Linked DNA regions of Oryzias latipes. The protein of the gene in region 1 binds, or shares a complex with, the protein of each later gene. Links are inferred from orthologs where the notes say so. Each region holds a gene or a part of one and is shown in the gene's direction. Other genes may lie near its edges.

Region 1 (4,317 bases):
TGCATCCATAGATGATAGACATCTTGTTTAATTCAAAGTAACATAATTAAGTGAATAAACGAAGCTGTTTCTGACTTTAGAGGCAACTTCAACTTTAAAAACAGCTGTTCTTAATATGCAAATTATTACATGCACTGTGACTGGCGCCCAACAGTAGCTGACCTGTACCCCGCCTTCAGCCAACAGCAACCTGGACAGTCTCTGGTGACCCCATGACCCCAAAAGGGAAATAGCAGCAGATTAAGAAAACAGATGGATGGATGGTTTGTTGCTGCCTACTGGCTAAATTGCTGTTCTTCAAAGCTGAACATCTATGTAGAAGCCTATTTTCCAGTTTTTATTTGTAAAAACAGAATAATTAAAAAAGAAGGTTATAGGATGACATTATTCACTGTCCCCGTGTCTTATGTCTGTATGATCATTAATTACTTTCATTTTGTCTTTGAAGTTTTAAAAATGTGTGTAAACCTTGTTTTAATCCCTGTTGTTAGGCAACTATTTTAATTTTGACTATTTTAGTTTGACCCTCTTAAAAATTTTACATAAATTTAGCATTTTTTCCTCAGTTTTAATTACATACCTTTAAAACATTTTCAGGTATTTACCCTTCCAAGGAATGACGAAGAAAACGGGTTGGAATTCCTGAAAACTGTTGTTCTTTTTGTTATGTGGATATTGGAACAACTGAGCATCTTTTCTTTGAATGTTTTTATTCTAACGTCTTTTGGAAAAATTTACATTGTTGGCTTTTCCCCAAGATTCCCTGTTTAGCAAACTTTTCTATTAAGGATGTCATTTTTGGGTTTATTTAAGAAAACAAAAACACAGAAATTTTAAATGTAATTATTTTGGGTAAATTCTATATGCATTAATGTCCATTCCTTAGAATCAAAAAAAAAAATTCAAAATCAAAACATTTCATAAAGAACTGTGGTGCTCTTCTTTTTCATCTATAAACTTCATGGAAAACAAACTTGCCATGGAACTTCAAAGTATCATATGTAAATTGCAGCTTTCTGATAAAGTTAAGAATCATTAAAATGTCTATGTAACCCCCTTTTTTATTTTAATTTTAATTTCTTTTATTTAAGTTTTTTTCTGTATTATTGTTATATATATTTTTAATTTTATCTTGCATCTGTTGTTTGTACATGTCCTGTACTTTTTCTACTTTTCTATTCTTGGCATAATTGAATACAATTGTCACAAATTGTTAACCTCAACTGTTTTTCCCCCAATAAAAATAAAATAAAAATAAAAATAAAAACCTTTCAAAATAAAAGCACGGTGTTAGAATCCTGTAATTCCTAAATTTGCGACTCTCTGCTTCACTAAAGCACGACATTTATTGTTTTATTCCGTCGCAAAATGATAAAGTGGGGACATTAACCTGCTCTGAGCTCTGGAGCTGAAGGTGGTTGGATAGGTGAAGAATTGGGATAAAGGGCATCGCGTCAAAGCCAAGGTGTGTCACGTGACCTATATCCCGGCTGTGATTGGCAGAGGCGGTGATCACACTGAAAGTAGAGCAGAGGTAGCGACGACTCTGGTTTGTGTCTGCTGCAGCTCATCAGGAAAATGCTTCTCAGTAAGGTGGGTTCTTCACTTTTAAGGCTTCCTTTATACAAGTTCGACGTAAATGGAGCCTTTCTCTTGCGGATATCCTACAGACGGACTTTTCTTATTTATTTCTACGTAAGGTGACAAACTTAGTTGTTACGTCACATGCTAACGCTGTTAGCTAGCAAAAGGTAACGATATCGACCAAAACAACAAACATCTTGTTGCTATTTGAATTTAGTGCACGATGTGACGTTTAACTTTTATTTGTGGGCTAGAAAAGTGTTTCAACTAGGAAGGTGGCTATTCAACTTTTTAAAATTGTGTTTTTATTATTATTTAATCATGAGCTAGCTACCTCCTGCCGACCCCAACATTTCACTTCAGTGACAATATTTATATTAGCATAAATGAGTTTAGCCAAACATTCCTTTTATCTACAGTATGTGTGTTTGAATGTGAAGAATTCTCTCTGTCAATGTGAACTTCATTACAGAATATTTAAATGTGTTGTTGTTGTGTTTGGGTTAGAGCTACTTAAGAATCGTATACTGACCTCTCTAGTCAGAGCCTTTTATATGAACATCAGACTCATCTTTAAATCTACTGATATTTTATCTTTAATGTTGTGTTCCTTACATTAAATGCTGGTTAACCACTTATTTTCTTTATACATCAAACTGTTTATTTTAGGCATCCATCCAAAACTGAGCAAACGTTTGAAAAAATAAAAACGAGGACATGTTCTGCAGGTTATGTAATACAGGAGTGACCATGACTGGAGCTGCTTCACGTAGAAATCATTTTTTCAGGAAAAGTTAACTAAAAATCCACCCCAAAAATCTAAAAATAACTCTTAGAGCAGTACTGATTCTGGTCTTTGCAGATTAGGGGGAGACCCATGCCAGTATGCATGGGGGGGGGGGGGGGGGGGGGGGGTTACATTTAAAGTGCAGACTGCAGGGTTTTAATGGCATTATAGGGTAAAGATTGCAGACGATGCTGTACCTTTAGTTAGCTGTCACGTCTTCAGGACATTAAGGACTGGTTGGCCCAATGCTTTTTGAGTTTTAATCAAAGAAAACTGAAGTTTTAGTTTTTGGACCATTGTGGTGAAGACAGTCCTGAGTCAGAAAGCAAAACTCCCGTCATGGGACTGGGTCATGACTGAAAGGAGGTCCCAGATACAAGCTTCCTCCTTAGGGTGGCTAGGCGCTCCCTTAGAGATGGGGTTCACCCAAAGAGAGCTTGGACTACAGCCGCTGCTCCTCCATATCTAGAGGAGCCAGATGAGGTGGCTCTTGCATCTGGTCTGGAGGCCTCCTGGACGCCTCACTAGAGAGGTGTTACGGGTGTTTCTCACTGGACGTAGGCCTCGGGGAAGACCCAGGACATACTGGAGAGACTACGTCTGTCAGCTGGCCGGGAAACGCCCCAGAGGAGCTGGAGCAAGTGGCCAAGGAGACGGAGGTCTGGGAATCTTTGCTTAGACTGCTGCCCCCGTGACTTGGTCCTGGATGAGCGGAAGAAGGATGGATGGATATGTCCTTACTAGATGAATGCCACAAAAAGTTGTTACTAAAACACCATTTTACATTTAAAGTTGATCTCTTGAATGTAAAACTGAAAGACTTGAAGGTGACTTTAGCAATGATGTCTTGTGTCTTGAAGGTCTTCAGAGCTGGTCTACAGTCTGGGATCCGTCTGCAGAGTTCCAGCGCTGCTACAGCCAAAGCAGCAGCAGCCTCCAGCAGCAATGCAGGATCTCTTGGGTTTTCTTTTGGTAAGTTGGCTTTAGAACATAATGTAAAACTAAAAGGTGGCAGTAAAAAACAATGCCTCCTATGCTACTAGCCATGTATTGATTTTGAATAATAGCTGAGCTTAGTGGCTGTTGGGTTCAGTTTTATCGGCATTTGGAGCGGATCAAGTCATTGTAATGCGACTGTACTGAAGCATTTCTCGCCTTGATTCCTCCTTCAGAGCTGACGGATCAGCAGAAAGAGTTCCAGCAGCTGGCCAGAAAGTTTGCACGTGAGGAGATGATCCCTGTTGCAGCTGCTTATGACAGAAGCGGTGAAGTGAGTTAAGAAAAGATGAGACTGAAAACTATATGCCCAAATTCAGTTTAACATGCTAATTTGGTAAATGCTGAACAGTTGATATTTAATGTATTGGGTGTAATTCTGGATGTTTTTGCAGTATCCATTCCCTATCATCAAGAAAGCTTGGGAGCTTGGACTCATCAATGGTCACATTCCACAGGAATACGGTACTCCTCCTGTTTTTGTTAACTACCCAACCCATGTAGTCATGAAGTAATGATGTGAGGGACATTTAACTGTAAAACAAAAGTAAAAACAAAAGATTTAATCTAATCAGCATTTGAGGTCCAGATGAAAGCTCTCTGATAGAAGCTGTTGTGTGTCCTTCATTGTCAGGTGGAATGGGCTTATCCATCTTTGACAGCTGCCTCATCACAGAGGAGCTGGCTTACGCCTGCACAGGGATGCAGACTGCTATGGAGGCCAATTCTCTGGGAGTACGTCTGTCTTGTTTTAGAACATTTTCTCTACCGTTCGTTTGGCTGTAACTTTGATTCCTGCTCAGTCAAACAGATATTTTACTTCACTGTCGTTTGAAGGGAACTTGTCTTGCAACAGTGGCCAAATACAACTAAAAACTACTTCATTTCAGTTTTACCTGTAAAAAGTAGGTCCTCTGGACCCAGACGCCTGCTTTTTCTCATTGTTCTTG
Region 2 (3,298 bases), on another chromosome or scaffold:
TTTTATATACCATGGTCCTGGTGAATACTCCACTTGGATTGGCTGCAGGATGTTCATTAAAAAAGTGACAGTGGACACTTAGTAGGGCATTATTCCTAACATGTCACACTCAAAACACTGACATATTTGGGATTTAAAAGAAAACAGACATACATTTATTTACCTTGTTGAGAAAGTAGCTGTCAGTCAATTGTTCTTTCATCTTCAATACTACTCTTAAAACACACATTTTTATTTTTTTACATAGTTTAAAGAGAATGAAATTATCTTTGTTTATTTGTTTCTTTTTTTGACAGGAGTTGTACATTGCAGTTGGTATTTCAGGAGCGATTCAACATTTGGCTGGAATGAAAGATAGTAAGGTAAATTTACAGGAGCTCAAGGGGACAGAACAGAAATTTTCCACACTTTATTATTTAGGGATCATTTTGGTTGTTTTTAAAATAGTTTTTCCTTATTTTCTTATTGGTCGTTTACTTAAAATGTGTTTAGCTTAAAATACAAGTAAAAGTATCAGGTTTTTCTATTAGACACAACTTAGTGAATTGGTCACATTTCTTTCTTTTTTTTTCCACTTGTTCCTTTGGTGCAAAAAATCTGGTATTGTTGACAAATTGTACGAAAGGCTACATAACTTAAATGTAACTCTTTATGCTCTTTTTTTTGTTTTAGGTTTTTATATGGGAAACCAAATATTGTCTGTATAGAACACTATATCCATGAATCTCACACGATTTAATAATATGGAAACAGTTAGTGCTTGGACATGTTTTACATGTTTTTTTTGCCTCTTTCATATAGACTATTGTTGCTATCAACAAGGATCCTGAAGCTCCCATTTTCCAGGTGGCTGACTATGGCTTAGTGGCAGATCTTTTTAAGGCAAGTGTTTGACTGGAAATGTGTCAGTTGTTGCAACCGACTATGACTAAGCCATTCTTGGACTTGTTTTCATGTATACGTTTTTTTTAATCTTTAGGGATGCATGATTGTAAAAACATAACATTTGTTTTGCTCACTTATGAATTTTGCATGGCGCCTTATTCCACCCAATGGAAATGTGTGTCTGCTGAATTATTAAGCTCTTGAATGAATCTACGGAGGCTCTGGCTGCAGCTTGTCACAACATGGCAGGCCAAAGCAGCGATTGTTACCCAGTCGCGTGATTCTTACTCGGTGTGGTTTAAATAAACCCAAATGTGCCACGAAGAAAGTTTTAAAAACGTCTCGTTGGTTTGGTCAAAGCGGTTTTATTTTTAGCCTCGACCTCTTATACGCTCAGTTGCATTCTTGCAATGAGCTGGCACTTCAGGACACCGAGCCAGGGGTTTTGGCATCACTATTCTTCCAGGGCTGTCTGTGAAAGGCTAGTAGGGTATATTTTCATGTGTGTCCTGTAGTTCATGTTTTATTTAGCTCCTGGAGTGGTGCTGGAGCAGCACAGGTGTCCTGACGAACTCAGTGGAAGTGATTAGCAATAAGTTGGTGGCAGTGGAGTTGTGACCCACTGAGTCGGATCAGCTTACATGTGACCACTCCTCGGATAACTGTTTAAAATGGATGGGCTTTCTAGCTTTTCCCCCAAATGGACAGTTGATACTCCACGCCAACATGGTCAGGGACTGATTCTATTCTGGGGTTTGCTGATAGCAGAAGCAGTTTGAACTAAACTGTATTTATTGAGCCAAATACTCCTTAAGAGTAATCAATTATGCATGTTTTAAAGCTGTGTACGCTCACAGTCGGGGTTTCCAGGTAGGTTTTCAGCTGTTTTTCAATCTCCGTTTCAATCATTAAAAGAAATGTGGTCAATTAAAGTGATCTCACACATCAAAGGACTCAAACAGCATTCATTGATTCTTTAGCGAAACAGAAAATGCCATCAGCTTTATTTTGTTAAGTCAGTTGTGGTCACAAAAGAGAAAACTTAATTAGAAAAAAATAAAAAAATAAACATGAAATCAACCTAAATTACGAACAAATTACTGCAAAATGTAGGCAAAAACATTAAATAGCAAACTATGACCCAGAAAGTATAATAGCTGCACCAATTTTTAAATGATGAACGGAGCATCTGCATATTTGTTATGCCGGCTTCAGTGAAAACATGAAGAAAAATGGATGACATCTGTTGTCTATTTTAAGAATAATGTCTTTACTGGGCACCAGGAACCAGTTGGGAATTGGTTTCAGAAAAATCAGTGTAAACTTTGTTCTTTCTTTTCAAACTTTCATTAGCAAAGGTTAAAACACCTCCATTTGTCTTTAGCACCCATAAAAACAAAATAGCAAATTAAGTCAACATTCTTTTTCAGAAATTTACTTTTAACTGGAATTATATATGGACATTTTTATTCATCCATGTTAGTTGATTAATTTTGAAGCTAAATTGAATGGAAAACGGGTCCCTTTTTTGGCAACAATGTTAAAGTTTGATTCTGGCAAATCATTTTTGCATTTTTTTAATTTTTATTTTGAAGGCCGTTCCTGAGATGACGGAAGCACTGAGCAAGTGAAGAGCCGCGCTCCACCAAACCTTCAACAGACTTCAACAGCTTCAGCAAGAGTAATAACAGGAAACCTGCTCATTGCCTTAAAGAGTTCCTGAAGCTGCGTGTTTCAGCGTCGAACCAATGCCGCCGTCAAGATCCACTATTAGTAGTTTCAAGAAAGAAATACCAGTTTTTGTATATATCCTACAAATACTTAATTCCTAATAAATGATCTGTACTAACCTATGGCAGTTTTTATTTTTTTGCTCTTAATAGTATATGGTGTGATACTGTGTCAACGCCGAGTAAAACATTCACACAGTTGAGACTCTCCAATGATTCTTTCATACATGTTTAGTGCAGCTTCTTTGATTTCAACACATCTGGCATGAAATTGGTCTTACGGAGGTTCCTGCTTGCATTTTTGGTTTTGAAATCACCCAAACTTATTTAAAATGTTGTGCCCTTTTCTTAGTCTTCAAGTTATACTGGCTCTTTTTTTAAAGTCTTATTTATGTATTTACACTTGTGGCTAAAAATGTAGGAGCAGTTTTTTATGGCTTTTTCAGCTACTATTAATACATAAGCATTTTAAGCTTTTATTTAGCTCATTTTGGGGCTTTTTTCTGGATCATTTCTATTTTATGTTGAATTGCTCACTGGCTTAAAGCATCAAATTCTAGGCAAACATTTTCTTTTGTAAATTTTGCATTTACCTTGATTCCAAGCTTTTTCTTTTGCCATTGTGACATTTGTAGCAGTGTTTACTATTTATCTGTTTTCCTACTTTTTTGGGCTTTATCATA

The links. Proteins that work in one complex are often made in the same cells at the same time.
Region 2: the proteins of acadm (region 1) and etfa are in contact, whole or in part, in a crystal structure (PDB 2A1T), measured with the Homo sapiens proteins. The link is inferred for Oryzias latipes from reciprocal best matches to the Homo sapiens genes ACADM and ETFA. Residues at the interface, in NP_000007.1 of Homo sapiens: Pro163, Lys173, Pro211, Gln232, Arg235, Glu237, Val251, Glu253; in NP_000117.1 of Homo sapiens: Arg223, Lys226, Arg249, Asp253, Ala283, Ile284, Gln285, Glu304.

The regions. Positions count from the first base shown.
Region 1 is NC_019875.2:3,779,534-3,783,850, forward strand, and holds the start of acadm (medium-chain specific acyl-CoA dehydrogenase, mitochondrial), read left to right. Parts: upstream 1-1,466; 5' UTR 1,467-1,578; coding exon 1,579-1,593; intron 1,594-3,231; coding exon 3,232-3,343; intron 3,344-3,543; coding exon 3,544-3,641; intron 3,642-3,762; coding exon 3,763-3,832; intron 3,833-4,001; coding exon 4,002-4,102; intron 4,103-4,317. UniProt on the Homo sapiens protein: Medium-chain specific acyl-CoA dehydrogenase is one of the acyl-CoA dehydrogenases that catalyze the first step of mitochondrial fatty acid beta-oxidation, an aerobic process breaking down fatty acids into acetyl-CoA and allowing the production of energy from fats.
Region 2 is NC_019864.2:17,580,305-17,583,602, reverse strand, and holds the end of etfa (electron transfer flavoprotein subunit alpha, mitochondrial), read left to right. Parts: intron 1-296; coding exon 297-362; intron 363-801; coding exon 802-882; intron 883-2,480; coding exon 2,481-2,516; 3' UTR 2,517-2,738; downstream 2,739-3,298. UniProt on the Homo sapiens protein: Heterodimeric electron transfer flavoprotein that accepts electrons from several mitochondrial dehydrogenases, including acyl-CoA dehydrogenases, glutaryl-CoA and sarcosine dehydrogenase.